Struthio camelus: one gene and its partners. The protein of the gene in region 4 interacts with the protein of the main gene of each other region in a pairwise test. Links are inferred from orthologs where the notes say so. Each region holds a gene or a part of one and is shown on either strand. Other genes may lie near its edges.

Evidence for each region.
Region 1: the proteins of CREB3L1 (region 4) and MFSD5 interact in binary tests that used the Homo sapiens proteins (3 or more experiments, as listed by UniProt). The two-hybrid records come from large-scale screens. The link is inferred for Struthio camelus from reciprocal best matches to the Homo sapiens genes CREB3L1 and SLC61A1.
Region 2: the proteins of CREB3L1 (region 4) and TMEM11 interact in binary tests that used the Homo sapiens proteins (3 or more experiments, as listed by UniProt). The two-hybrid records come from large-scale screens. The link is inferred for Struthio camelus from reciprocal best matches to the Homo sapiens genes CREB3L1 and TMEM11.
Region 3: the proteins of CREB3L1 (region 4) and FXYD domain-containing ion transport regulator 3-like interact in binary tests that used the Homo sapiens proteins (3 or more experiments, as listed by UniProt). The two-hybrid records come from large-scale screens. The link is inferred for Struthio camelus from reciprocal best matches to the Homo sapiens genes CREB3L1 and FXYD3.

Annotation. Positions count from the first base shown.
Region 1 is NC_090969.1:1,568,356-1,575,997, forward strand, and holds the start of MFSD5 (molybdate-anion transporter), read right to left. Parts: upstream 3,025-7,642; 5' UTR 2,882-3,024; intron 1,890-2,881; 5' UTR 1,725-1,889; intron 1,127-1,724; exon of another isoform or gene 402-1,126; 5' UTR 349-401; coding exon 1-348. Other genes in the region: nuclear receptor subfamily 1 group D member 1-like, read right to left, coding at 5,753-5,949, 6,032-6,242, 7,187-7,372. UniProt on the Homo sapiens protein: Mediates high-affinity intracellular uptake of the rare oligo-element molybdenum.
Region 2 is NC_090956.1:4,349,872-4,357,673, forward strand, and holds the start of TMEM11 (transmembrane protein 11, mitochondrial), read right to left. Parts: upstream 3,073-7,802; 5' UTR 2,778-3,072; coding exon 2,710-2,777; intron 1-2,709. UniProt on the Homo sapiens protein: Plays a role in mitochondrial morphogenesis.
Region 3 is NC_090974.1:266,586-273,794, reverse strand, and holds the start of FXYD domain-containing ion transport regulator 3-like, read right to left. Parts: upstream 3,004-7,209; 5' UTR 2,921-3,003; intron 1-2,920. Other genes in the region: sushi, nidogen and EGF-like domain-containing protein 1, read right to left, coding at 5,137-5,137, 5,247-5,524. UniProt on the Homo sapiens protein: Associates with and regulates the activity of the sodium/potassium-transporting ATPase (NKA) which transports Na(+) out of the cell and K(+) into the cell.
Region 4 is NC_090946.1:40,126,483-40,133,713, forward strand, and holds the start of CREB3L1 (cyclic AMP-responsive element-binding protein 3-like protein 1), read right to left. Parts: upstream 3,040-7,231; 5' UTR 2,978-3,039; coding exon 2,870-2,977; intron 1-2,869.

The DNA of each region.
Region 1 (7,642 bases), on a different chromosome or scaffold from region 4:
CGAGTAGGTCAAAGAAAAGAGGATGCAGGATTTCTTCCGGCCCAGCCAATCCACCAGGGACGTAGAGACCAGCCCAAAGAGGACACTGGAGGCAAAGCCACACACGTAGATGATGGCAATCTGCCCCTCCAGGAAGCGGTAGTGCTGGTAGAGTTTGTAGAGGTAGGGGCCCTGCAGCCAGTCGGCGGCCAGAGCCAGGAAATACACCTGGTAGTAGTCCCGCTGGAACTGGAGGAAAGCCGGGTTGGTGCACGCGCTACCGGTGAGCTTGGAGCGGCAGGCGGAGAACTCCAAGCCCAAGCATACGGCCAAGAGGACGGCGAAGGCGGCATAGGCGGTGAAGAGCATGGTGCCTCAGAGCGTCACGGGCATCTCTGGGAGAGAGGGCTACCGCGAAGCTCCTGAGAGAGGAGAAGAAAATGCCGTGACATCCGGATGGGAGGTGCACTGTTCTGCAGGAGTGGCCCCGAAGCAACCGCTCTGCTGCTCTGCCCACGCAAGCCGGGACACCTGGGCACCCCAAGGCCGTCCTTCCTCAGCAGCTGATTTTGAACTGTCAGCCCTCAAAGCTCTTGGACCCTGGGTCAGATGCCCATGAGGACACAAGCCGCAGGCAGAGCTGACTCCGGCTGGGAGATGGGAAGGGCTGCGGCAGACGGGAAGGGCTGCATTTACTGCAGAGCCACAGGGTGGAGCGAAGCAGTTACGAAACTCGGTCTGAGAAGCAGGAAAAACTCCACAGGACACTGGTCTGCCAGGTCACAGACTGGTCTCCATAAAGGCAACACCAGAAGTGCCATCACTCAGAAATGGAGAGTGCAAAGCCCATCCTGCGGCTCCTCCGCGATCGCTCGTAGGAGCCTCCTTGTCCCTCTACCTCTGCTCCCCAGTGACAAGCCGATCCGCAGAGGCGGAGGAAAGGACAGCTCCACCTCCAGCCAAGCCTCAACCCTCCACCCCATTGTACACTAATTTCTGCCTCTCTGCCAGGAGGTGAAGCTACAGTCCCCATCCGCAGCGTTCCCCACAGTGACCTGCCATCCCAGCCTGTCCCTTGGGGCTCGGCTGTGGCTCATCCCATGGCGCCAGCCCCATCCTGCTCCCATCTGCGCCGTGAGCACAAGCCCTAGAAGAAGCGGTCCGCAGTGAGAACAAGGCCGTTGGCAGCACAGTTGGTTTCAGACTCTTTGATGACTCTCCTGTGCCTACCCAGAAAGCCAAGGGGTTCAGGGCAAATTGCAAACAGAAAAGCTGTTTAATAGCAGGAAAAATAAAGTCACATCCTGTTTTATTTGCATTCTATGGGGATGGGATAGTCCTCAGGGTAAGAAAAAGCACGTGATATGCCGGGAGGACTGACGAGATCCAGGATCTGTCTGTCAAGGGTTTGGCTTCACTCCTAAACCAAGTGTTTGAACAGAAGTGCTAAAACAGCCTAAGAAAAAAATCCAAAAAACTAAAACCTCTGGTTTCCCAGTTGTATTATGTCCAGAGCCTGCCTGTCCCCAGGCACTACAGAGGCTGTCCCCTGCTCCTGTCCCTAATCCTCATTTCCAGCCTGCCCCTCACATCTTCCTCGCTGCTGCCTTGCAGCCGAATCTTTCCAGGTGACTTAAAAAAAAAAAAAATAAAATAAGGCGAACAGGTCTGTGTAGTCGCAGGGCAGGGCTGGGCAGGCAGCCAGGGCCACCACCGTCTCACCCTGTCACCTGTCCCCAGCTCACCTGGGTGGTCTCTGCTCCAGGGGAAGCCCCGCAGCATCCGGACAGTCCTATGGGTTGCAACCAGCTCCCGGAGATGCCAGGCCCCCGCCGTGAGCCGCTGTCCTGCCAGAGCGGACGTCCCCCTGATCCCGGGGCGTGAGAAAACAGGGTGAGGGTCTGTCCCTGCTGCCGGGAGACGGGTGAAGACCGTGAGTGGCCGCAAGTTTTGAGCATGGGCGGCCCCAGGCAAAGCCACCGAGCCCACGGCAGCTCCAGCCCCTGCAGCCCCTGGGGCAGCTCGTGCCCAAAAGGCACCTCTGGGTTTTTTGTCCCCCCCCCCCAAACTTGGCCCCATGTCACTCTTCTGCCCCTGGCAGCCCCCTCCCCACACCCTACCTAAGGCCCCCCAAGTCATCCCCCCCCCACTGCCCTATACATCCCCACAGCCCCCCGGATCTATACGTCCCCACTGCACAGACCCCACAGCCCCTGTTCTGTATGTCTCCACTGACCCCACGGCTCCCTCCCAGGCAGCCCCTCCCACAGAGGCCCCCAGCCCCCCTCTCAGTGACCCCCCAGCCCCACAGCCCCCCCTCTCAGTGACCTCTCAGCCCCATCTAACCCTACAGTCCATAGTCCCCTTGAGCCCCTCCCAGGGACCCACAGCCTCCAGCCCCACACAGCTCCATAGGGCCTCTCTCGGTGACCCCACCAGCTGGCCCCACACAGCCCCTTGGGCCCCTGCAGTGTCCCCACTGACTCGGCCCCATACAGCCCCTCATTGACCCCCTCTGGCCCTACACGGCCCCTCACTGACCCCCTCTGGCCCTACACGGCCCCTCACGGAGCCCCCCCCGGCCCCACACGGCACCTCATTGAGCCCCCCAGCCCCACACGGCCCCTCACTGACCCCCTCGGCCCCACATTGACTCCCCCAGCCCCACACGGCCCCTCACTGACCCCCTCGGCCCCACACTCACCCCCCAGCCCCACACGGCCCCTCACTGACCCCCCCGGCCCCACACTCACCCCCCAGCCCCACACGGCCCCTCACTGACCCCCCCTCGGCCCCACACTCACCCCCCAGCCCCACACGGCCCCTCACTGACCCCCCCCGGCCCCACACTCACCCCCCGGCCCCACACGGCCCCTCACTGACCCCCCGGCCCCACACTCACCCCCCGACCCCACCTGCCCCTCAGCGGGGGGAGAGGCCGCGCGCTCCCGGCGCCCGCGCGCACCCGCTTCCGCTTCCGCGTCGCCGCGGCCGGAGCCGCCGCGGCCGCCGCCATCTTGGCAGGCGTCACGTGACGCGGGCCCTGCGCTCGCCCCGCCCGCCCGGCCTGACCTCTCCCCTATGCCCCCCCCCCCCAAAATAACGGAGCCTTCCCCCCAAAATAACAGGCCACCCACCCACCCCCTGGTGGGGGGAGACGGGGATGAGACACCAGCCATCGCCATGGTGCTGCGCCCCCCCCACCGTTGCCATGGCGACCGTGGGGGCTGCAGGGGGCCAGGCCGAAGCCTGTCATGGCGGCCGGGGGGCCGGGGGGCCGCCGGGGGGGCCGCAGGGCAGTCACGGTGCAGCCATGGGGCAGCTGCGGGGCTGATGGGCGCTGTGGCAGGGCTGTGGGGTGGCTGTGGGGGCTGTGGGGCAGCCGCAAGGGTCGTGGGGGCCGCAGGGTGGCCGTGGGGCGGCTGGGGGGGGCTGGGGGGGCCACCAGGCAGCCATGGGGGGCACAGGGCAGCCGTGAGGCAGCCATGGGGGCCGCAGGGTGGCCGTGCGGCAGCTGCGAGGGCCGTGGGGGGGCTGTGGAGGCCGTGGGGCAGCCATGGGGCAGCTGCAAGGGCTCTAGGGCAGCTGTGGGGGTTGCAGGGTGGCCGTAGGGCAGCTGCGAGGGCCGTGGGGGGGCTGTGGAGGCCGTGGGGCAGCCATGGGGCAGCTGCAAGGGCTCTAGGGCAGCTGTGGGGGTTGCAGGGTGGCCGTAGGGCAGCTGCGAGGGCCGTGGGGGGGCTGTGGAGGCCGTGGGGCAGCCATGGGGCAGCTGCAAGGGCTCTAGGGCAGCTGTGGGGGTTGCAGGGTGGCCGTAGGGCAGCTGCGAGGGCCGTGGGGGGGCTGTGGAGGCCGTGGGGCAGCCATGGGGCAGCTGCAAGGGCTCTAGGGCAGCTGTGGGGGTTGCAGGGTGGCTGTAGGGCAGCTGCGAGGGCCGTGGGGTGGCCATGGGGCAGCTGCGAGGGCCGTGGGCAGCCGTGGGGCAGCTGTGAGGGCTGTGGGGCATCTGCCAGGGCTATGGGCAGCCCTGGGGGGTATGGGGCAGCTGTGAGAGGCCGGGGGGCAGTGGCCGGGGGGTGGTGGCCGGGGGCCCTCTCGCGCAGCCGCAGCCCAGCGCTCCGCCACTTTCCGTTTACTATTTCCTTTATTGCACTTCAAGATTAGACAAAAAATAAACCTTTTGCAGCGGTGCCCCAGCCCCAAAGTGCAAAGTTTCGCCCTCCCACCCCCACCCCCTTCCCGGCCCTGATATGTGTCCAGAGGGCCCGGATGCCTGGGTCCCTCAGCCAGCTCGGGGACCTCCCTGCCCCAAACCTGGGCGGGAGGGAGGGAGCGGGAGCCCCGCTTGCTCCAAAAAGCCCCAAAACGGCCCAAATTGGCCTTGGGGCTGAGGCAGGGCAGGCGGGAGGGGAGGGGGACGCACCGCGGGGACGGGGCCATCATCATCGAGGTGCCATCATCCCCGGGGTGCCATCGTCCCTGGGGCACCATCGTCATCGGGGTGCCACCATCGTGAGGGTGCCATCCTCATCAGGGTGCCACCGCCATCGGGGTGCTGTTGCCATCGGGGTGACATGGCCCCTGGGGTGTCCCTGAGGCCACAGGGCATCATCGCCATCAGGGTGTCATTGTCCCCTAGGGTGTCACTGCCATCCGGTGGTGCCATCATCTCCACGGTGTCCCCGAGGGCATGGGGGGCCATCGTTGTTGGGGTACCATCATCCCCAGGATGCCATTGTCATTGGGGTGCCATCGTCACTGGGGTATCCCCAGGTCACCCCCGAGGCCGCAGGGCCTCACCCTCCCCGGAGTGCCATCGTCATCAGGGGCATCCCCATCCCCGGGCCACCCCCAAGGCCACAGGGTGCCCCATCCTTGGCGGCGTTCCCGTCCCCGGGATGTCCCAAGGCTGCAGGCTGCTTCTGTCCCTGGGGTGCCCCCATCCCCAAGGCAGCCCCATCCCTGGGGATGTCCCCGAGGCCATGGGGCGTCCCCATCCCTAGAGTGTCCCCAAGGCTGTGGGGCGTCCCCATCCCCGGGGCATCTGCATCCCTGGAGCATCTCCAACACCACGAGGTGCCACTGTCCCCAGGGTGTCCCCGTCCCTGGCGGTGTCCCCGAGGCCATGGGGCGTCTCCATCTCTGGAGCATCTCCGAGGCTGTGGGGCGTCCCTGTCCCCAGGGCGGCCCTGTCCCTGGGGCATCCTGGAGGCCGTGGGGCATCTCCATCCCTGGAACATCTCCAAGGCCACAGGCTGCTGCTGTCCCTGGGGTGTCTCTGTCCCTGGGGCATCCCCAAGGCTGTGGGGCATTCCCATCTCCAGGACATCCCCATCCCTGGAGCATCTCCAAGGCCACAGTGTGCCGCCGTCCCCATCCTGGGGCACCCCCGAGACCATGGGGCATCCCCATCTTCAGGACATCCCCATCCCTGGAGCATCTCCAAGGCCGTGGGGCATCACTGTCCCCAGGGCATCCTCATCCCCGGAGCATCCCCGAGGCCATGGGGTGTCCCCATCCCCAGAGCATCCCCAAGGTGGTGGGGCGTCCCCATCTCCAGGACATCCCCATCCCCAGGACATCCCCATCCCTGGAGCATCTCCAAGGCCGTGGGGCATCACCGTCCCCAGGGCATCCTCATCCCTGGAGCATCCCCGAGGCCATGGGACGTCCCCATCCCCGGAGCATCCCCGAGGCGGTGGGGGCGTCCCCGTCCCCCCGGGAGGACTGGGGGGGGGGTGGAAGTCCCCGAGGGGGCGCAGCCGTGACCGGGGACTCAGGGCTCGATGGGGAAGGCGAGGAGCTTCTCGGCGTGCTGGCTGTTGAGGCTGCGCAGGTCGGGCAGGCGCAGGAGCAGGCGGGCGAAGAGCCCGGCGTCCTCGGGGCGCCGGCGGGCCAGCAGCGCCCGCAGCGCCCGCAGCAGCGTCTCCTGCAGCGCCTCCACCGCCTCGGCCGCCGCGATGCCCGCCCGCTCTGCGGGGCGCACGACGGGCGTCAGCACCCGCCGCGTCCCGCCGCCCGGCCCCGAAAGCCCCGCCGCCCCGGCCCCGCTCACCCGCCGACAGCAGCACCACGGCCATGAAGAGGGCGAGCTCCTGGGCGTCGAGCGCCAGCGCCGCCAGCTTCTCGCTGAAGTCGAACATGGCGTCGAGGAGGGCGCCCATGCCCAGGGCGCGCAGGCTGCTCAGCGAGTAGGTGTCGCCGCTGAGGAAGGTGAGCGCCTTCTGCGCCGGGTGGAAGAGCGCCGCGAAGCGCACCATCAGCACCTGGGGAGAGGGCCGGCAGCGGCGTGGGTGCCGGGCGCAGGCACGGAGATACGTGCCAGCCCGCCCCGAGCATGCACAGGGCAGGGCTGGGCATGCATATGTGCACACACACACACACGTGTGCACACGCACACCCCCAGCAGCGCTGTGCATGCACACAGGGCAGCGCTGTGCATGCATATGTGCACGCACACACACACGTGTGCACACGCACACCCCCGGCAGCGCTGTGCATGCACACGGGGCAGGGCTGTGCGTGCATATGTGCACACACACACACACGTGTGCACACGCACACCCCCGGCAGCGCTGTGCATGCACACAGGGCAGCGCTGTGCATGCATATGTGCACGCACACACACACGTGTGCACACGCACACCCCCGGCAGCGCTGTGCATGCACACGGGGCAGGGCTGTGCGTGCATATGTGCACGCACACACACACGTGTGCACACGCACACCCCCGGCAGCGCTGTGCATGCACACAGGGCAGCGCTGTGCATGCATATGTGCACACACACACACACGTGTGCACACGCACACCCCCGGCAGCGCTGTGCATGCACACGGGGCAGCGCTGTGCATGCATGTGCACACACACACGTGCGCACACACACACACACACACGCACACCCCCAGCAGCACCGTGCATGCACCCAGGGCAGCGCTGTGCATGCATATGTGCACACACACACACACGTGCGCACACACACACACATGCACACCCCCAGCAGCACCATGCACGCACCCAGGGCAGCGCTGTGCATGCATGTGTGCCCACACACACGTATGCACACACACACATGCGTGTGCACGCCCCCAGGGCAGCGCCACGCGCATACACGCGCGTGCCCCCCGCGCCGGGCTGCCCGCACAGACAGACGCGTGCAGCCCCCCCGAGCCGTGCCCGCCCCGCGGCGCCCGCCGGCCTGCCCGCGCTCACCTGGAAGGTGCCGGCCTTGAGCAGCAGCACCTGGTCGTGCTGGCCCAGGGCCTGGAAGCCCGGGATGCTCTTGGCGAACTCCACCACCTCGGTGACGGCGGGCGTGAAGCAGCGCGAGAAGTCCTGCCAGGCCTGCTGCCGGCTGCCGCCCGCCCCGCACCACGGGCTGCGGTTCAGCGGGCAGGCCTGGGGCCCGCGTCAGCCCCCGCCACCCCTGGGAGCCCGTCCCGAGGGGGTCCGGGGGGGTCTCGGATCCCTGCGTGCCCGTCTCGAAGGGTCTGGGGGGTGGCTGGATCCCTGGGTGCCCATCTCGAGGGGTCCGGGGGGGTCTCGGATCCCTGGGTGCCCATCTCGAGGGGTCCGGGGGGTGGCTGGACCCCTGGGTGCCCGTCCTGAGGGGTCTGGGGGGTGGCTGGATCCCTGGGTGCCCATCCCGAGGGGTCCGGGGGGTGGCTG
Region 2 (7,802 bases), on a different chromosome or scaffold from region 4:
AAAGCAGGATCTCCAACCAAAAGGTGCATCTTCAATACAAATGGAGAAGAACTGGAGAACATAGGTGAGATCTTCAAACAGTCTTGGCAAACGAAGACAACATCTACCAAGGAAAACGCAACCAGGCCATAACAAAAATACACCAGCCACCAGAGCAAAGAGGCGCGTCAATTTTAAGTCAACTAATGATTAGCCAGCCCAATGGAAACAGGTCAATCATTGCTCTAAGCAAACAGATTACCTGAAATCTGAGCAGTACTGGTAGTGAAAGGAGAGATCTTTAAGGGTGCAGAGAAGCCAATGTAAGTTAGTGGTGATGACATTAAAGCTGTTCTTTCTGGAGTTTGTTAGAACATCTCCTCAGGGAACAAGTGGCATTCTGTTTTGTGTTCTGACGGTCATCGTGCTGAGTTTTACGCATCAACTCCAAGTACAATTCAGTGTCTGTTCTGTATAAAAAGTTGTTTTGCTTTAGAGATTAACAATTCCCTTTAGACAGTCTCCATTAAAGAGTCTATCCAGAATGAAGAAAAAATAAGTACTTAGTGGGTTCTTTTCAGTGCTTTGGGTTGTTCTTTTTAACCTTATTATTTCACCACCAGAGAGTAAATTAAAATTCATGGCCAATAGTATTTGAAATTAATATTTTTACATTTATTCCTAGTCAGAAAAGTACTTTTCAATCAATTACAGAATCCCTTTTATCAATAAAGTCACTTACAAAAGGATGCAGCCTCCACAGATATAGTTGCTGGATTTTTTTTTTTTTTTAAATGAAAGCTAGTCTAGCCTAACAGCAGACAGTATTTTATTCACTACCAAGTCCCCTGACGCTACCTCGCAACAGAGATCTTTTTAGACTAGCTGGCGGACAAATACAAAAATACCTTGAAGCAGCTCATTTATGAAAAAGCTGGATTAGTATATTCAGTTTGAAGGAATGTGTCTTTGGACAAAAATCCTATTCAGCGTAAGAAAACTGTATTTGCTATATAAAAAGCATATGTCGTCATTTGATGACATCAGCTCTGTCAGCCTTGCTTTTTACACAACTTGCATTGCCAGCAGCCAAACGAGATTGGTTGGTATGATTTAGGATTAGACACTGATCAAGAGAGACAGAGGCCCAGTCACGTGCATTTCCAGCTTCGCAACTGCAAGGAACAAGTACTACCTGAGTGACATCACCTGACACTCATTAAAAGTATGATCTCGTGCTAGGTTCGTATGGCATGACACCTAACAGAACAAGCATCTTCTGATAGGATCATAAGGCACTGGTCAATGGTGTATCATAGTCACAGATCAGCTATTGTCTTGTAAGGACGTCTGTCCTTACTTACATACAGCTACATACTTCTCACTGTAAAAGGAAAGCTAATATACACTGAAGGTCAGTGAAGTAGGTAACTCATGTTTATGAATAAGTATTTTTGATCATAAGATGAAGAATAATCATAGCTAAAATACTTTCAATTACTTCAGATTATTGTATAGTTCACAGATTAAGTTACACAGTAAAAATTCATTTTTAAATCTGCACGAATTTTCATCCTGGCAGGATAATTTTCACTGAAGTACAGTACTCTTCACGTTTTTTCTTCACTTCCATTGGGAGGCAAGGTCTGCCAGATGAAAGCTCTTCATGTGTATAGTTCTGGGGCAGGCGTCAGCACTGGCTGCAGACAGCTTTACCACTATGCCACCGAGCTCCCTGGTATTCTTAGTTGTTTATATAAACTATGCTGATGCGGTAATTCCATCAGCTCTTCCAATTCAATTACTTCTAAATTCCCTGAACACAGACAGCATTCCTGCATTTCGCATTGGCACTAGGATTTTAAGTACTGCTTGCGACTCTCCTTGGCTGCATAGCTTCAGTACCATCAAAAAATAATACTCTTGAAATACAGCATGGGAGCAAGGTGAAACAAAACCCACAGTAAAGAGTCACAGGGAAAACAGACTCTCTAGGTAAAGCAGCAGAATAAAAGGAAACTTCTGTTCTCCATAAAAACGCAGCCGCTTTCAGAAGCTTCTGGTTACATTAGTCAGCCCCAGGGCAAAACAGGGAAAATAGCAGCGTATGAAATACAAGCTTTAACTGCTGATTTTAAGTCGGTAGAGAACTGTGCACACGGATTCTAAAGCAGCTCAACGAGATTTTTCTCTCTCTTTCTCCTGCCTTTGAAACTTAGGCTCCCCCAACTTCCACAGCTACCCCGCAGGCAGCTCCAGCGCGTCCCAGCTCCTCCCGCGTCCCGACAGAGGCAGAGGGAGAGCGAGGCACCCAGACGCCCCCCGCGGAGCGGCCCGGCCCGGCCCGGCTCCGGCAGCCCCACAGCAGGAGGGAGGTCACCCTGGCCGACTGGCCGCTGCCCGGGCGGCCGGTAAAAATAGCCGCGCGAGGAGCCTCCCCGGGGCTGCCCTCCTCCACGCCGGCCCCGAGCGCCGCATCCCCGCGCGGGAAGGGTTGACCTTCCCCTTCGCCTTCGCCGTCCCGCCCGCCGCGGGAGGCCCCGGCCCCGCCGTCCTCCCTCCGGCCTCCCTCAGCAGCGGCGGCACCGCCGCCGCCGTTCGCCCCTCAGCGGGGCGCCCCCGCCCTTGCCCGGGGGTCGCGGGGAGCCCCGCGGGGCCGCCTTCCCCGCCGCTCCCTCCCCGCCCGCGGAGCCCCGGCTCCCACCTCCCGCGGCCTCCGCCCCGGCTCACCTCTCCCGGCCGCCGCCGCTGCTGGTGGTGCTGCCGGGGCCAGCGCGCCTCCTTCCCCAAGCCGCCATCTTGGAGACACTCGACTCGCAAATGTCTCCGCCAAAGGGGCCCGGGCTGGCCCCGCCGCCCGACGGGAAATGTAGTGCGCCGAGCCGCGCCGGAACCGCTCCGCGGGCGGGGGCGCCCCGCGCTCGCGGACTACAACCCCCACAACGCCCCGCGCCGCCGCCGCCGCGCGGGGGACGACGGGACGTGTAGTCCCCTCGGCAAGCAAAGGGGCGGCCAAGGCAGTGCGGTCCCCCCCTCCGCCCGGACGCGGCTGCGGGCAGGCAGAGGAACCCCGCGGCCGCCAGCTCTCCCCTTGCCCCCGGCCCCCGGCCCGCCCCACAGGCAACGGGCCCGGCGTGGGAGGAGCGCGACTACAAGTCCCGGCGTGCCCCGCGGCGCCGCCATGAGGACGGCGGCGGCGGTGGCAGCGGCGGGCGGGAGCGGGGGCTGCGGCTGCCGCGCCGGGTGGGCCGCAGCCCCGGCCGCCGCCGCCGCGCCGGGCTCCCACCCGCCGGGCGGCGGGGGCGCGGCCCCCGTGGTGGGGGGACGCGGCTGGGCCTGCCCTGCTCGAGCCCGGGCCCGGCCTGAGAGTCTGGGTCGCCCCTGCGGTTTCAGGCCTCAGGCCGCGGGGCGAGCAGGGCCCGCTCCGGCTTGGCGACAACAAAAGTTACTCCAGCGCCCGAGCGCCGCGTTGTTGTCGCCCTTGACGAGAAACACGCGCCTCGCGCTCCGGCGCGGGGGAGAAATGAAAGGAAACCCCTGCGCTTATCTGCCAGAGCGGGCCCGAACACCCGGGCAAAAAAAGGTGTCGGTTGTGCTTTACCCTCCTCACGCAACCGCTCTGCGTTGCAAGCTGTTGGCCCTGGCGGAAGGGCGGAGGGGAAGGGGAGCGCTGCTCGCCCTCCCGGGGTACCTCCGCGCAGCAGAGTCTTCCTGGGGAAGGGTGCCGGGGGTTTGCTGGGGTGAATCTATCCCCGTTAATTGATTCTGAGAGAGGAAGCAGGGGTGGGGACTTCACCACTGCTGCTTCTCATACCCAGAGGAATAACAGTCGTTTTACACCCAGAAACTTCACTAGAAAAGAAAATGCAGGTTTGCTCCTGCGGCTGCCACAGTACCCAGCGCCTGTTGATCCCGCAGCTGGCCAAAGCTGAAGGATTCGGGGAGGCCTCCCAGGACCCACCCTGTCCTCAGCCTCTGGCGATCCTTCCCCCAGCACAGCACGCTTTCTGGCTCAGACGTCTTTCATGCCTCGCCCAGGACCTGTGCCTAGGTCCTAGGTTGCTGTGTCTGGTGGGATCTGGCCGGCCTCTCCGGAGCACTCTAGCTCTTGGTTTTTCCGTGACTTCTCCAAGGAGAGGAGCTTTTCTCTCAGGAATTTGTTTTCCCGTAACAAACAGCTGCTCCCCTGCTCTGCAGCCTCCCTGGTCCCAGCGGTACACTTTCCTGCCTGCCCGCCGACAGCGCCCAGCGCCGGGGAGCGCGACCAGTCCTCCTCCAGCCCTGTCTCCGATACTCTCTCCTCCCATGCCGTTTCCCATCTCCCGATTGTTTCAGACATCCTTCTCTTGGTGTTGCTCAGGGGACACTAAACCTCCAAGGAGAAGGGGCAGGGAGCACTTCAGTGTCCAGAGCAGGGATGAGCAGGGGAAATGATTGAAAGTGCATTTTAGAAACAAGTGAAGCTGTCTTTGTACTTACCCTTTCTAGAAAATGCCCTTTTTAATAACAGCATCTACAAGCAATGTAATACGACTAAAGAGAGCAAAACTGCGGTTACCTTCATCTTCTTGGGCAGAGCGAGGCTGCGCATCCAAGCTGCTGGGCTCTCCTGCAGCCCTGCTTTCTCAGCCACAGTTTGAGGTTCAGTTCTTTCAGAGGCGCTTAATGGTGCATTTGCATCCTGGCTAGGTCCTGTCGAACAAGAGGTGTTTGGGAAACGCTCCCAGCGCGGCAGAGCGTGCTGCCAAGCAGTGGCATTGCTGGGGCAGGCCGGAGCATCGGACTTTCTGGAATGTGGAATGTAAACAGAGAGCGTTGCTAGCAACAGCCCAGCTTTGTGTTATAACCCAAAGCCACAGCTCCGTGTCTTGGGAGGACCAAAAACCCAAACTCTTGCCTGCTCAAATTGCAACCCAGGGGCCACGCGTCACTTTCGCATTGGGTCAAATCATAGCTGTAAATAAGCCATGCCCCTGCTCCCCCCACCACCCCCAACCCTGAGATTTTCAACTATTGAGGCTCTGCCCTCAACCTCTATGGCTTGCGCCCAGCTTTAGGAAGCAACGTAAGCTCACTGAGCTGGGAGCCCTAGTGATGAGCGCCCAAGCTGTGTTCCCCAGGCTTAGGAGCACAGGGGCCCCAGGAGGGCACTTCCTTGTGTTCTTCTGAGTCACCTGTCCATCTGCCTTGCTCTGGATGAGCACAACAGGGAAAAACTCCCCTTGCCAGCTATTTAAATAGCCTTAATACTTTCCAACATCTTAAACCAATGAACACAAGCATTTAGTGCCACTTCACAAGAGGCTGCATTTGCAGGATTACTCCTGATGATTATTTGGCCCTAACTCTAGAGGGAGGATTGGTTAGTGCAAGCAGGAGAGGATTGGCCAGCAAAGGGGAAGAACCAGCTGGCATCCCACTTGCCCCAAGCTCTACACAGTCATCACTGGGTCAGCCAGCCCTCAACAAGGCCTGAAATAATAATAGTTTCAGCCCATGCCTCCCTATGCATATGCAAGGGGAGCATCTCACACTTGCCTGGGATTTGGCTTGATGGTCCTCTGCAGTGGGAGAGCTGATCTGTGCTGCATGCACAAACATGCAGAGCAGTATGTCTCCCATCTGCCAACTTCTTTTCTCTCACCTTCTCCAAGACACAGATGTGTGTAATAGATATTTTATGAGATTCAGGGCCAGATTTGTTAGAGGATTTGTTTGTTTCTGGGGTGATTTGGCAGGAGCTTGTGAAACAGGCTCTCTGCTGAAGTGACCCAGCCCAGCTGTAATGGAGTTGGGGACGCCCAGAGGTCTCCCTGGTCCTCTGGGCACATCCTCCTGCCTCCCACCACACATGGAGCAGTGAACCACTACAGATCAATTAAGTCACACTTTTTATTGTATTGTATTCCATGCAATATGTTCATGTATGACAGAGGGAGGAATAAAGATAAATGTTAGACAAATAAAAGCAGAAAGGTCATTTGTAACAGGTCCTGAGAAGGAAAGGCACATCGTAACCACTGAATTCAACAGAATGGAAACCTTGGACAGAGGAAGACAACTCTGGAAAGCAGACGAGAAAGGAGGAGTTCAAGTTGGGCGATGTGGAAGCAAGTTTGACAGCAATTTGTATTTCCCCACCTCCCAAAGTCTATAGTTCAAATGGGCTTGGGGACCTCAATATTCAACCAAATCACTTCCACACTCCCATTGCCGGAGAGAGTCCAGGATCCCCAACTCTTCCAGGCTTAGTCAGCACCATGGAGCATCCCCAGGCAGCAGAGGGATCAGAAAGCTCCTTCCTGCACGGAGGAGCGAGGAAAGGGCGGCTGGCAGAGAGGCAGGAGGGATGACTGTCCAATGCCACGGGAGCCCCCAGCCATCTCCCACCTGACAGTGCCAGATCACAGGAGCGTGGAGGACTGCAGCATCGCTGGTGACCTGTGGATATTGCTATTAGCCAATGTTGGAGACCATGGAGAAGGAAAGGCCAAGGTGGAGGACAGATACAGCAGTAAAATGGTTGGCACGGACACTGGCAAACATCTCTGTCAGGTCAGAAACTGAAGGGACTGTAGCACCTCAAAGGGAAGCAGCAGCAAAACCACGTGCTGTGCCTGATTTAAGGCAGTGATTGTCACTTATGATCCAGGGCCAGGAAGCACGAGGTTCCTGCCAAAACAGCACGAAGGGCTCCACAGCTAGGCTTGGACGTGTAGACCCTGCCGATGCAGTGACCACAGCACATCTCTGGTGAGCCATCTTCACGCAGCAGACACAGCATGGCAACGCTGGAAACCGTCACAGTGGAAACTAGCACAAAACCAGGGCCGAGACTTTCAGCACTGGGCACGCGCTATTGCTCCTAAGAGATCTCTTCCAAGTACCCAGCCCTGCTGCACTGCAGATACAGTGGTGTCTTTTTATCTTTGCTTGCAGGAGAAGAGGTGGTTCAGCTTCACTTTGGGACCAAGAGCAGGAACGGTTCTGTCACTACTTGGCTACAACACAGCCAACCTTGCTCCTATAACTAGATGTTGAAGTGTATTTTGCCTGTTGAGGAGCTAGCATTTTGCAGGCTAGATTTCTTCTTGAGCCCCTTCTCTTTAGTTCTCTACCCATGACATTATCCCAGCTCCTCTAAGACATCCCAAAGGCAAAAGCCAGGCTGAAATAGGCAGCAAGAGGGCAGAAACACGAGGCAGAGGCAAGGCCGAAGACCGATGCTTTCTTCTGAGTAGCACAAGCCAGTGGTGGGGCTGCCACCCAGCCCAGCCTCAAGGGTGGGGCATGGGTCCCTCTTGAGATGGGCAGGGGGTTTCACAGCCTGCAGCAGGGCAGGGATGGTGTTTGGGAAGGTTTTACTCAAGCCTGCACACAGTGGGCTGTGTCACATCGGTGGCGGGCAGCCCGTGAGCGAGCCCAGGGCTGGCATCCCCCCAGAGCAGCAGGGCAGGTGGCAGGGGCTTCGTCTCAACCGGGCAGCTGGGAAGAACACACCGGCGTCTCCCTGGCTGAGGCTGCACATGGGTCTCCCATCTCTTACTGATCCAACCGGGAGCAAAGGTTGCAGGAGCTGTTGCCTTTACCTCCGTGGACGTTGCCCTGGGCTCTGGGAGAGGGCCGAGCTGTCTCTTGGCTAGGGCTTCATTCAGTCCATGACACAGATTGCAACTTTTAGTCCCTACTGAGATAAGCTAGATTTGGATTTGGCCTCCAGGTGAAAGGCTCTTTCTCTCTTTCTGCCTGGCTACAGCCCCCTGGCTGAGCTAGCAGCTGCTCAGAGACAGCACGCCAGGAGCACTGCTGACAACATAGTGCTA
Region 3 (7,209 bases), on a different chromosome or scaffold from region 4:
TGGAGGTGACGGGGGGACCCGGACGCCTGGGCCCCTTTGGGTGGAGCCGGATGCCTGGGCCCCTTTAGGGGTGGGGTGGGGGGGGCCGGACACCTGGGCCCCTTGGGGGAGTGGGGGGGGGATCCGGATGCCTGGGCCCCTCGGGAGGTGATGGGGGGGACCCGGACACCTGGGCCCCTTTGGGTGGGGGGATATGGGGGGGGACCTGGACGCCTGGGCCCCTTTGGGGTGGGGGGATATGAGGGGGGACCCGGACACCTGGGCCCCTTTGGGGTGGGGGGATATGGGGGGGCCGGACACCTGGGCCCCTTGGAGGAGTGGGGTGGGGACCGGGACACCTGGGCCCCTCGGGAAGTGATGGGGGGGACTCGGACGCCTGGGCCCCTCGGGAGGTGATGGGGGGGACCCGGACGCCTGGGCCCCTTGGAGGAGTGGGGTGGGGACCGGGACACCTGGGCCCCTCGGGAAGTGATGGGGGGGACCCGGACGCCTGGGCCCCTCGGGAGGTGATGGGGGGGACCCGGACGCCTGGGCCCCTTGGAGGAGTGGGGTGGGGACCGGGACACCTGGGCCCCTCGGGAAGTGATGGGGGGGACCCGGACGCCTGGGCCCCTCGGGAGGTGATGGGGGGGACCTGGACGCCTGGGCCCCTTGGAGGAGTGGGGTGGGGACCGGGACACCTGGGCCCCTCGGGAAGTGATGGGGGGGACCCGGACGCCTGGGCCCCTCGGGAGGTGATGGGGGGGACCCGGACGCCTGGGCTCCTTGGAGGAGTGGGGTGGGGACCCGGACACCTGGGCCCCTTGGGAAGTGATGGGGGGGGCCAGATGCCTGGGCCCCTTTGGGGGGGGGGGGACCCGGACACCTGGGCCCCTTTGGGTGGGGGGATATGGGGGGGGCCGGACGCCTGGGCCCCTTGGGGGAGTCGGGTGGGGGGATCCGGATGCCTGGGCCCCTGTGGGGGTGATGGGGGGGACCTGGACGCCTGGGCCCCTGTGGGGGGGGTTACGGGGGGGGGCCCGGATGCCTGGGCCCCTCGGGAGGTGATGGGGGGGACCCGGACGCCTGGGCCCCTCTGGAGGTGACGGGGGGGGGACCTGGACGCCTGGGCCCCTTTGGGTGGAGCCGGATGCCTGGGCCCCTTTAGGGGTGGAGGGGGGCCGGACACCTGGGCCCCTTTGGGGGGGGGAATATTGGGGGGGTCCCCGGACACCTGGGCCCCTTTGGGGTGGGGTGGGGGGTTGGGGAGACCCGGACACCTGGGCCCCTTCTGGGGAGAGCATGGGGGGGGGGGGGCTGGACGCCTGGGTCCCCTGAAGCTCCCGGGCAGGGGTTACAGCCCGGACACCTGGGCCCCTTTGGGTGGGGCCGGACGCCTGGGCCCCTCCGAGTTCCAGGGTTGGGTGGGGTTTTGGCCCGGACGCCTGGGCCCTTTTGGGTGGGGCCGGATGCCTGAGCCCTTTCTAGCTCCAAGGCAGGGTGAGTCACAGCCCGGACGCCTGGGCCCTTTGGAAGGGCGGGGGGGGGGGGGCACCCGGACGCCTGGGCCCCTTGGGGGGAGGGGGATCCCCGGACGCCTGGGTCCCTTTTGCGGGGGGGGGCACCCGGACGCCTGGGCCCCTTGGAGGAGGGGGGCACCCGGACGCCTGGGTCCCTTTGGGGGGCACCCGGACACCTGGGCCCCTTGGAAAGGGGGGGACACCCGGACGCCTGGGTCCCTTTGGGGGGCACCCGGACACCTGGGCCCCTTGGAAAGGGGGGACACCCGGACACCTGGGCCCCTTGGAAAGGAGGGGACACCCGGACGCCTGGGTCCCTTTGGGGGACACCCGGACGCCTGGGCCCCTTGAGAGAGCACCCGGACACCTGGGCCCCTTGGAAAGCGGGGGACACCCGGACGCCTGGGTCCCTTTGGGGGACACCCGGACACCTGGGCCCCTTGGAAAGGGGGAACACCCGGACGCCTGGGCCCCTTGAGAGGGCACCCGGACACCTGGGCCCCTTGGAAAGGGGGAACACCCGGACGCCTGGGTCCCTTTGGGGGGCACCCGGACGCCTGGGCCCCTTGGAAAGGGGGGACACCCGGACGCCTGGGTCCCTTTGGAGGGGCACCCGGACGCCTGGGCCCCTTGGAAGAGGGGGGACACCCGGACACCTGGGTCCCTTGGAAAGGGGGGGGGACACCCGGACGCCTGGGCCCCTTGAAAGGGCACCCGGACACCTGGGCCCCTTGGAAAGGGGGGGGGGGACACCCGGACGCCTGGGCCCCTTGAGAGGGCACCCGGACACCTGGGCCCCTTCAAGTCTGGCAGGGGGGGGATGGGGGGGGAGGCAGGGCTGCTCCCGGACGCCTGGGTCCCTCTCCCGGCACAGCCTGGCCCCAGATAAGACAGGCAGGAACCAGGCGGTGCCACCGGCCCCCGGACGCCTGGGTCCCTTCGGGGGTGGGGGTTGGGGGAGGAGGGAGGGGGGGGGGTCCCGGACCTGCCTAGTGTCCCCTCCCCCCCGCCCCTCCCCTCTTGGGGCCCAGGCGTCCGGGGACCCCAAAAAGAGCCCAGGCGTCCAGGACCCCTCACCCCCAAAAAGGGGCCCAGGCGTCCGGGGACGGTCCCAAAGGGGCCCAGGCGTCCAGGACCCCTCACTCCCAAAAGGGGCCCAGGCGTCCGGGGACCCCAAAAGGGACCCAGGCGTCCGGGGACCCCTCCTCAAGAGGGGCCCAGGCGTCCGGGACCCCTCACTCCCAAAAGGGGCCCAGGCGTCCGGGGACCCCAAAAGGGACCCAGGCGTCCGGGGACCCCTCCTCAAGAGGGGCCCAGGCGTCTGGGACCCCTCACCCCCAAAAAGGGGCCCAGGCGTCCAGAACCTCCCCCTCCCCCCCCCCTCCAAAAGGGGCCCAGGCGTCCGGGCTGCCACCACTCACCTGCCCGCACCGGCAACGGTCGAGCTGGAAGGCGAGGGGGCGGGGCCGCACCTGGGAGGGGGCGTGGCCAGGCAAACGCCCCCCGGGGCAGGGGGCAGGGCCGGGGAGAAAGGGGCGGGGCCTAGGCGGGGAAGGGGGCGGGGCTTGCACCTGGAAGGGGCGGAGGGGGGGCAGCGTGGGGGGAGGTAGGAGTCAGGACCCCCCCCCTCCCCCGCCCAATGGTATTAGGGTGCTCAGATGGCTTATTAGGGTGCTCAGAGAGATATTAGGGTGCTCAGGGGGCTATTTGGGTGCTCAAGGTGGGTTATTAGGGTGCCCAGGTGGGATATTAGGGTGCTCAGGGAGCTATTAGGGTGCTCAGAGGGGCTATTAGGGTGCTCAAGGGGGTATTAGGGTGCTCAGATGGCTTATTAGGGTGCTCAGGGGGATTATTAGGATGCTCAGATGGGTTATTATGGTGCTCAAGGGGGTTATTTGGGTGCTCAGGGGGCTATTTGGGTGCTCAGGGGGGTTATTAGGGTGCTCAAGGGGGTATTAGGGTGCTCAGATGGCTTATTAGGGTGCTCAGGGGGATTATTAGGGTGCTCAGATGGGTTATTATGGTGCTCAAGGGGGTTATTTGGGTGCTCAGGGGGCTATTTGGGTGCTCAGGGGGGTTATTAGGGTGCTCAAGGGGGTATTAGGGTGCTCAGATGGCTTATTAGGGTGCTCAGGGGGATTATTAGGGTGCTCAGATGGGTTATTATGGTGCTCAAGGGGGTTATTTGGGTGCTCAGGGGGCTATTTGGGTGCTCAGGGGGGTTATTAGGGTGCTCGGGGGGGATATTAGGGTGCCCAAGTAGGATATTAGGGTGCTCAAAGGGGTTATTAGGGTGCTCAGGGGGGATATTAGGGTGCCTTGGGGGTTATTAGCGTGCTCAGGTGGGATATTAGGGTGCTCAGGTGGGATATTAGGGTGCTCAAGGGGGTGATATTTGGGTGCCCAAGGGGCTATTCGGGTGCTCAGGGGGCCTATTAGGGTGCCCATGGCGGGTATTTGGGTGCCCAGGGGGTTATTAGGGTGCTTGGAGGGATATTAGGATGCTTAGGGGGATGTTTGGGTGCCCAGAGGGGCTATTAGGGTGCCCAGGGGGTTTATTAAGGTGTTCAAGGGGGTTATTAGGGTGCTCAGGGGGCTATTAGGGTGCCCAGGGGGTTTATTGGGGTGTTCAAGGGGGTTATTAGGGTGCTCAGGGGGCTATTAGGGTGCCCAGGGGGATATTAGGATGCTCAGGGGGGTTATTGGGGTGCTCAGAGGGCTATTAGGGTGCCCAGGGGGGCTAGTAGGGTGCCTAGGGGGGCTATTAGGGTGCCCAGGGTAGGGTGCTCAGGGGGCTATTAGGGTGCCCGGGGGGCTATTTGGGTGCTCAGAGGGGCTATTAGGGTGCCCAGGGGGAATATTAGGATGCCCGGTGGGATATTAGGGTGCTCAGGGGGGCTACTAGGGTGCTCAGGGGGTTATTAGGGTGCTCAAGGGGGTTATATGGGTGCCTGGGGGGCTTTTGGGGTGCTCAGATGGGTTATTAAGGTGCTCAGGGGGGTATTAGGGTGCCCAGGTGGGATATTAGGGAGCTCAGGGAGTTATTAGGTTGCTCAGAGGGGCTATTAGGGTGCCCAGGGGGCTATTAGGATGCCCAGGTGGGATATTAGGGTGCTCAGGGGGTTATTAGGGGGGCTCTTTGGGTGCTCAGATGGGTTATTAGGGTGCTCAAAGGGGTTATTAGGGTGCCCAGGGGGCTATTAGGGTGCCCGGGGGGCTGTTTGGGTGCCCAGGTGGGATATTAGGGTGCTCAGGGAGTTATTAGGGTGCTCAAGGGGAGTATTAGGGTGTCTGGGGGGCTATTTGGGTGCTCAGATGGGTTATTAGGGTGGCCGGGGGGCTATTTGGGTGCCCAGGTGGGCTATTAGGGTGCTCAGGGGGGTTATTAGGGTGCTCAGATGGGTTATTAGGGTGCTCAGGGGGCTATTTGGGTGCCCAGGTGGGCTATTAGGGTGCTCAGGGGGCTATTGGGTGCCCAGGGGGGTTATTAGGGTGCCCGGGGAGCGGGTATTAGGGTGCCCCCCACCCCGGCCGTGCCCCGGCACACGCACACGCGTGTCGCTGCGCCCGCCGGCTGCCCGGCGGCTCTTTATTGCGCGTTGGGTTGGCGCCGGGTCCCGTGGAGTCGCCTTCACCGTCTGCGGGGAGGGGGTGGAGGGGGACAAAAAGCGGGTGTCAGGGGGCCCAGGCGTCCGGGTTTCGGCCCCGGAGAAGGGACCCAGGCGTCCGGGCTCGGAGGCCACCCACCACCCGCAGATGTAGCTGGGTTCCTCCTCCGATGTCTCCTCGGTGGCCCTGGCTGTCGTCTGGGTGGTCCCGGGCGTCCTGTCGGTGGCCCGGGGTGTCCCCTGGGTGTCCCAAGCTGTCTCCGGTGGTGGCCCCTCGGTGGCCGTGAACTCGTCGACGCGGAAGACCCAGCGCCCGGGGACGCCCACGTTGGAGGTGCGCCCCACGTGCAGCACCGCCGGCGTCCGCGAGCCCAGCACGTTGTAGTAGTGGGTGTCGTCGCCGCTGTTGAAGCCCACCTGGAGGGACCCGCGGGTGCTACAGGTGTCCCCGTGGTCTGGCCACCCTCCCCTGGCTGGCTACGGGGATGTCCCAGGGCCGAGACGCCTTCACTTTGCCCATGGAGGTGGCCACCATGGAGGGTGTCCCATCACCACATCCCCTTCACTCTGCCCATGGAGGTGGCCACCGTGGAGGGTGTCCCATCACCACATCCCCTTCACTCTGCCCATGGAGGTGGCCACCGTGGAGGGTGTCCCATCACCACATCCCCTTCACTCTGCCCATGGAGGTGGCCACCAAGGAGGGTGTCCTCCTGCAACATCCCCTTCACTCTGCCCATGGAGGTGGCCACCGTGGAGGGTGTCCCATCACCACATCCCCTTCACTCTGCCCATAGAGGTGGCCACCATGGAGGGTGTCCCATCACCACATCCCCTTCACTCTGCCCATGGAGGTGGCCACCATGGAGGGTGTCCCATCACCACATCCCCTTCACTCTGCCCATGGAGGTGGCCACCAAGGAGGGTGTCCTGCTGCAACATCCCCTTCACTCTGCCCATGGAGGTGGCCACCAAGGAGGGTGTCCTGCTGCAATGTCCCCTTCGCTCTGCCCATGGAGGTGGCCACCATGGAGGGTGTCCTCTTGCAACATCCCCTTCGCTCTGCCCATGGAGGTGGCCACCATGGAGGGTGTCCTCTTGCAACATCCCCTTCACTCTGCCCATGGAGGTGGCCACCAAGGAGGGTATCCCATCACCACATCCCCTTCACTCTGCCCATGGAGGTGGCCACCAAGGAGGGTGTCCTGCCACCACACCCCTTCACTCTGCCCATGGAGGTGGCCACCATGGAGGGTGTCCTGCTGCAATGTCCCCTTCACTCTGCCCATGGAGGTGGCCACCATGGAGGGTGTCCCATCACCATGTCCCCTTCACTCTGCCCATGGAGGTGGCCACCAAGGAGGGTGTCCCATCACCATGTCCCCTTCACTCTGCCCATGGAGGTGGCCACCATGGAGGGTGTCCTGCTGCAACGTCCCCTTCACTCTGCCCATGGAGGTGGCCACCAAGGAGGGTATCCCATCACCACATCCCCTTCACTCTGCCCATGGAGGTGGCCACCAAGGAGGGTGTCCTGCTGCAACATCCCCTTCACTCTGCCCATGGAGGTGGCCACCAAGGAGGGTGTCCTGCTGCAATGTCCCCTTCGCTCTGCCCATGGAGGTGGCCACCAAGGAGGGTGTCCTGCTGCAATGTCCCCTTCGCTCTGCCCATGGAGGTGGCCACCAAGGAGGGTGTCCCATCACCACATCCCCTTCACTCTGCCCATGGAGGTGGCCACCGTGGAGGGTGTCCAATCACCATGTCCCCTTCACTCTGCCCATGGAGGTGGCCACCAAGGAGGGTGTCCTGCTGCAACATCCCCTTCACTCTGCCCATGGAGGTGGCCACCAAGGAGGGTGTCCTGCTGCAATGTCCCCTTCGCTCTGCCCATGGAGGTGGCCACCATGGAGGGTGTCCTCTTGCAACATCCCCTTCGCTCTGCCCATGGAGGTGGCCACCGTGGAGGGTGTCCCATCACCACGTCCCTTTCACTCTGCCCATGGAGGTGGCCACCAAGGAGGGTGTCCCATCACCATGTCCCCTTCACTCTGCCCATGGAGGTGGCCACCAAGGAGGGTGTCCTCCTGCAACATCCCCTT
Region 4 (7,231 bases):
TTAGTCCATCCCAGGTGCAGGAAATTGCATTTGTCTTTGCTGAATTTCATGAGGCTTCTGTCAGCCCATTCCTCTGGCCTGTCTGGGTCCCTCTGGATGGCAGCTCCCAGACTTGTTCAAACCAATATTTTTTTTTTTTCTTTTTCAAGCACATGGACCTCTTTAAGGATGCATCAACAGATGTGCTGTCATTACTTCGGTTTGTCACACCTTCAAATGAACAATGCAGAGAATCTTTTTTTAAAGGACATGATGATTAGTTAAGAATGCTAGCATTCAAGAAAGGAGAGTAGTTCAGAAGAATGTAATTCTCATCCCAAATGAGCACAGCCTCATCAGTAGGGAATATGAAGGTTCATCCATCCTTTCTTTCTTTCTGCTTCAATTCTGAACAGAAGAAATCTTCCTAAGAAAAAGTTTCATACTGGCATTTTATGGCCAAAATTCCTGTTTGAAGAAAAATACTTGCTGAACAATATCTGGAAATGTTTGTTCATCTTTGAAGCAAAGGCACTGGCAGCCTTTGAGCACTACTGTGCATGGTGATGCTCTGCACAGTTCTGTGTAAGAAGATCTTCTCGAAAGATTTCAAGATCCCATGAGAATTGCTGGATTTAATAGCAAAATGTAACTGTATTCCTTTCCACCATGTTATCATGCAGAACTGGAACAAAGAGGGTGATATATTATGTTCTGGCTCATGTATCATCAACAGATTTGATAGCTGAGCAACAGCTACAGAATCTCTTCTATTTATCATACACAGGAAGACAAGGTATCAGCTTGACTCTCATACTCCAGGGAAGTTTATGGTGCTGGCAATTGGGAAAAAAAACCAAAGCATTTATTTTTCTACTTGTAAGTTGAGCACAACAGTGCCAGAGTCACTGCAACCTAATGAAAGTGGAGACCAGAGCAGGCAACTTTGAGAAGCAGCATTGCAAGCAGAAAGGCCATTGAAATCAGGTAGGAAAGAGCCAGCCTCTTCATGATCAGTGTATACTTTAAAAACACTGTCCTGGCAGGTGGCACCAGATGGCACTCTTACACAAAAGCTTCTTTTTCGCATGGTCTGCTTGCACACAGAAGATATATTCAAACTATAAGGAGGTACCCTGTGTGTTTTAAAGGGGTTCCCTGCCTTCTTATTGCAGTCCATGTTGGACCTATATAAAAGGACTGATGTTACGCCCTATTATTTTCATGTAGGTAAGGGAACGGTCCTGGCATAAAGCACTTCTCTATCAGCACAGCTTCATCCACTTTGGATGTAGATGGAGTTAGGGAAAACACAGAACTCATAACAACAGGTCTTTCAGCTGTGAGCAAACAAGGCCTCACAGTGCGAGCAAGCATTCAGTCTCAGGGTGACTTGCCATCGGCAGTTCTAGAACAAGGCGAGAGTCTGCTGCCTCCCGTAGTCCCCAACTGGCATCAGTCCCTGAGGCACAGCAGCGTCTTGGAAATTAGGAGTTGGTGAGATTTCTGAGAGACAGGATTGGCTGCTGATAATCTCTCTTACAGACCCACTGTGTCTCCACACACCAAGTGTGGTACACTTAACATATATGCAAATTCTGCTTCTCTACTATCTCCTTCATAAGGGAGGCAGCATAAAAGGAAGGGCTTCAGGCTTCTGCTTAGGAAAGCAGAAGAGGATTTATCAGGTGCTTAATGGCTATAGCCCCCCTTTCCCTGCCCCCTGCTCCTGTGTCATAGTGCTGGCATCACCCCTACTCCCATTGCAAGGCTAGTGCTCAGAGATGCTCACAGTGCTGCGCTGAGAGCACAGGAGGTGCCAGTATTGTGGCAAGGGAATAACAAGTCAGGGCTAAAATCTCTCTGCCTGGAAGCTTGGTCTGTGGCAGGCACACTGTCCCGTGGCTGAGGCTGCTCGGAGGCTGGGGGAGCCCCGAGTGCAGGCAGTGCCTCTCTGCCGAGCGTGGGAGGATCCCCCACCTTCACCCCAACCCATCCATGATGTGAGACCCTTCCCCTTCCTCATCAGGGCAGCATCCTCCCTGGTAGAGGGGCAGCAAGATTTGCAGCACAAATTTCCACCAAAGACACAGCTCCCATTGCTCAGGCAGGACAGCAAAGAGCCTAGGGGCAGCGTTCAGGGAGCTGCCGGACTCAGGACTCGCATGACTCCACAGAGAGGCTGGGCAGTTTCCTTAGAGGTGAACAATGCCCCTTTGGTTTCTTGGGACCGGCAATACATTTTTCTCCCAAGTCACTCTTCCCCCTCACTCTTCGCTCCAAAGTAAATCCTCCCAGCTTTAACAGGCGGGAGATGCTTCATCTCCCAAATGCCACTCCGCAAAGAAGTTATAACCACATGAAAACAGAGGCGTTGAGCCGAAAGGTCTCCCGACACCACCCGACCGTGCGTGCCTCCCGCGCTGTCTGAGCCGAGCCGCGGCAGGTTGCGCGCTCCCCCTCGGACCGCACGCCTCTCTCCAAGGCAGGAGTCCTTGAAAAGGGCATGTTAGGAAGAATCGGTCCTCTTCCGGCGGGTGCCTGTGGCGGGCAGCGCCGGGGTACCGCGCTGCAGGATGCCTGCGGGCAGTGGGGCGCGGGGCTGGCCCCGGGAGGCGCTGGCCGTGGGCGGCGGGAGGGCCGGCAGCCCGGGTACCTGCCCGCCGCGCGCCGGGGCGAGCGCGCCCGGTGCGCGCAAGCCCCGGGACAGGCACCCGGGCACACGCCGCCCCGGGAGCCGGCTGCGCCGCGAGAGAGGCGCCGAGCCCCGACGCGTGCCCCGTCCCAGCTGCGGCGGGGCCCGCCGGGACACCCTGCCGGGGCGGCCGCCCCCGCCGGGGGCACCGCGCGGGGGCTGCCGGCGGTCGCCGCCGCCCGCTGCGCCCCTTACCACATTGCTGAGGAAATCCGCCTCGCTGAAGTCGCCGAGGTCGAGGAAGCCGGGGCCGCCGGCGGGGAAGAGCCGCTCGGCGGGGAAGGGCTCCAGGATACTGTCCATGGTGCCCGCGGCGGCGGGGCGGCTCCGCGGCTGGCCGCGCTCCGCCGGCCGGGCTCACTGCGGCGCGGCGCGGGCAGGGCAGGGCACGGTCCCGCCGCCCAGGGGCCGGCGGCGGTCCATGGGGCGGCGGGGCCGCGGCCGGGGGCGCGGCGCCGCCGCGGGAGCGAGCTGCCAGCGGGGGGCCGGGAGCGCCGTGCCGGGCCGGGCCGGGCCGCGCCGGGGTCCCGCTCGGGCCAGCTGTCAGTGGCCGGCTCCGGAGGGGCTCGGCAGGCTGCACCGCCCGGCCGGCCCGGCACGCCCCCGCCTCATGAATAGGGAAGCGGCCGCGGGGCGGGACTTGCCTCGCCGACACCCCCTTAAGGGAGCGCGGCTGCCGCCGGGCAGCACCCTCGGCCGGGCCCGCTCCGCCGCCGGGCGCCGCGCTGCAGCCCCCCCCGCGCCCGGCAGGGCATCCCCCGCCGTGCCCCCAGCGTCTGCCCGCGATGCCCCCGCTCACCCCCCCGCGGGGCCCCGGGAAGGGATCTGGAGTGCAGCGAGGAGCAGGCTGGAGGCAAGGTACCAGCCAGCCTCCTCCTGAGACTCCCCCATCTGCCCCAGGACACCAGTGACTAGTGGTGAGGGGCTGGGTGACCCGCTGCCATGCTCAGAAGGCCCTGGGCCACCAGGACCACCGGGAGGGCAAGACCTGCAGCTGCCCGGGGCTGGCTGGGCCACCAGGCCCTGGGGCTGCCTCGCTGCTCCCCGGACAGCAGCGGGTGCCTGAGGGCAAAACAGATCCCCAGCAGTGTGATTTCAGTTTGGTGAACTGAGCAAACCCTCCCTTTAGCAGATCCAGAGATACCACTGCAAGCTGATAGGCAATGGCGGTCTGTGGCGGCCCCTGAGTATCCCTCAGGGAGCAGAGTCAGAAAAGATGGGTCTTCAGAGAGCTCAGTTCCTAAAGTGCAGCCACAAGCCCTGCAGGGAGATCTTCTTGCCATGGCTCTCAATAACAGGCTTGCAGGTGGGCCTGGCTGCAGCAGCCCATCCGACTGCTCTGTAATTAAGGAGCTTCAGGAAGATTATATGGCTTCAGATAAATAGGATTATGGATCCCTGTCCTCTCAGATCCTTATTCCAACCAACACTCAAGAAAACCACTTATAATAATCCTGTTGAAGAAACTCTGATGTTTTATTAATCTGTTCCTGCCTTCATGGCTCCACGAAGGGTGGCCAAGAGTCCCAACTCCCAGCAGTGGCTTTCTTGATCACAAGCATATGGATTAAAAAAAAAAAGACAACAGTGCATCTCTCCTGGGAGAAATGTAGCTAGAAGTTGCCAACAGTGAGGGTCACTGTGGGGAAATGCAGTTCTGAGGCTTGCTGGGGCCTGTGTCTGAACCAGACGCTAGGTTTCCACTGTGTGGCCCTCATGGGCTCTTGCCATGTTCCACAAAGACCTTAGGACTATCACCACTACCCTAGACACTCCTTGGCTGCTCATCACACTAGCCTCCACGTGCTACCTTCCCCACATAAAAGCCTTTATACTGGTACACACAAAGGGCTCTTTCAGTTACATTTACTTTTACCTTATGTTTCAGTCAAGTGTAAAGAGCCTTCAGGTAAAACGGCCAAAGATATAAATTCGGCCAGGATGGAACTGTGCTGCTGTTTTCACAAAGTCAGTTAATTTCTTACGTATATGAGGGAGGAATGGCATTTGGAAATCATCTTCTAAAGAGAGAAGACACTTGCAGTTTCTGCAAAGCAGTACTTGGATCCTATTGCAATAAAATGCTGGGAACAAAACAAAATACGTCTTCTCTGTGAATAGGATCAATGCAGGCCCTGCTCTCCCATCACTTTGATGGGGCATCATGAGCAACTCACACTCTCACGCTTCTGGAATGGCATAGCCATCGCATCCTGATCCCTCATGCTCCAGTGTACCACAATAACTGTCCAATCACTGCCATTAAACAGATAAAATAATGCTGTTCTCACCGGACTGTTCCTCTTTCCTTAATGGTAAAGAAATAGCTTTGTCAACAAGGGAGCCAGTGGGTATAAAGCTGGAAACATAGAAACCTTTACCACTGTAAGATGAGGAGAAGAAATGGGTCCAGACCCTTCAGAAAGCGGTGAATCTCTATCTCCAAGGAAGGTGACAGACATATTTCCTTAAACTTAACAGTTAGAGGAATTCTCAGTTCTGGTGGGGTAGAAGGACCAAGGACTGCAATAGTAATGGTGTTCCAGATGAGGGTCAAGGTGCTACAACGCTTTGTTGTAGAGCTACAACAGGGGAAGCTTCCACCACCTGTCACTAACCAAACACGGATATCACTTCCGTAACTGCTAAGATTTACCAATGAAATTAAGCGTTTGTGGTTCAGGGCCTCACCCAAGTTAACACAAGGAAGCAGGAGAAGTCAAGGCATACACTGTATTTATCCTCAGTGCAGGCAGAGGAATCTGAGACGGTGAGTTACAGCAACTGTTTGCACTGAATGGGTGGCGGTGTCATCAGAAAAGGTCAAGCAAAGTAAACCTGACTTGTTTGTCTGCATTGTAAAGGGAAAATGCTTTGGCACAGTCCAACAGGAGTTCTGTGAAGTCTGCCCTAAAGATTCAAACATCTCAAAAATATGAAATTGTCTGTTCTGAGACCCTGTTTGTATTTCATATATTTAGTACTGAACATAAATGCCTCAGACTCGGTCTACTGAAGCTGTTGCTGTACCTCTGCAGGTGAGGAATGATTGTAACAAATCTTCCTTTTCAATATCTGCACTGCAAAGCTAGTCTGTCCCATCCTGAAGAACTGTGAAGGGAAACCCCATCTCCAGCACTTTTATGAAGCTTTGCAAGAGACAAGTAACACTCTTCCCACGTTAGACATGAGTGCAGTCCAGTAAAGGCAACACAAGCGTAGTTACCTCTGCGTTCAGTGAGAATCACTGCTGACCCTTTGGAGCCAAAAAGGAGAGTTATTTCTGCAGACTAGCAGTTTTGTATTCCAAAAGAGACCTGAGGATAAAGAAAGTGTTGATGGGGTGAAGGGAGATAACCAGAATTCAGAACGATCTGGTGCACCTCACTGGGGTGTACACACTGAGGGCGAGGAAGGACAGGCCGAGTAGCAGTTCTGTGGAAGAGGCCTGGGAACTATAGGGCTTGCAGCGCTTGAACAAGTGTTAACAGTGTCTGTAGCTGTGAAAAAGCCAAGTGCCATGCTGCGATATAAATGCAGAAACCCTCCTACAAACCTTTAAGACATATAAGAGCTCCCCTTCTGCCCTGCAGAGTAGTGGTGCAAAACACAGTGTTAGCCAGAACATCATATCCCTCTGGGCTTGCACACCTCGAGGAAGGTGGGACTAACGGGGCAGAGTCCAGAGGAGGGCACTGAGAACAACTGGAAGTCTACAAAAAAACCTGAGAGAACTGAGCTTCTTTTGTCTAAAGAGAAGAGTCTCATGCCAGCAGTCTTTAGGCATTCAAACAATTGTGGGAAAGAGGAAGGCAATAATTTCTCTCCATTGCCACAGTGAAGGGGACAAGCAGTAACAGACTCACATCCTAGTAAGGAAACTTCAGAACAGGTCATAGAAAAAAATACCTAATGGCAAAAATAGTGACTAGGTGCCTGGGAGGTGGCAACGTCTCTACCACTGGAGCTTTTTTAAAAGCAAGTTCTGCAGACATCTCTTGGGACATAAATATCGCCGATCAACATCCACCCTTCGGGCAGGGGCTGAATCACATGATCGCTCAAATTCCTTTTCAGCCCTATTTTATCTGATTTTATATTTAGGTTTATTTGCAATCTGATCACAGAAAGATTCTGAAAGAGCAACCAAGTATGTTTAGACTGAACAAGCCCCAAACTGACCACAAAGAGGCCCTCCTGGCTTTGCAGCATTTGATACTGCAAATGCACATATATGACCAAGATCATTGCTGATAATGGAATAATCAACCAAATTTTCATAACAAAAGGATCCTACTCTTCTGTGCTCCGTTCTGCCTTGTCTTGCTGCTGCTGCTTTCCTTTATACCTGTGAAGAGAGAGAGAGTAGGAAATGCAAGTCCCTCATCATATCACTTTGCGCTCACTTTGCCTTCACTCTGCGCTGTGGCGGGCAACGCATACAAGGCAAGGGAACCAGACTCTGAGCTTGAACATGTGCACAGCGATCCAGTCCATTTTGCAGCCCACAAAGCTGAAATTTTTGTTTCCCTCCAGACCGAGCCAGGAGGTTTGACA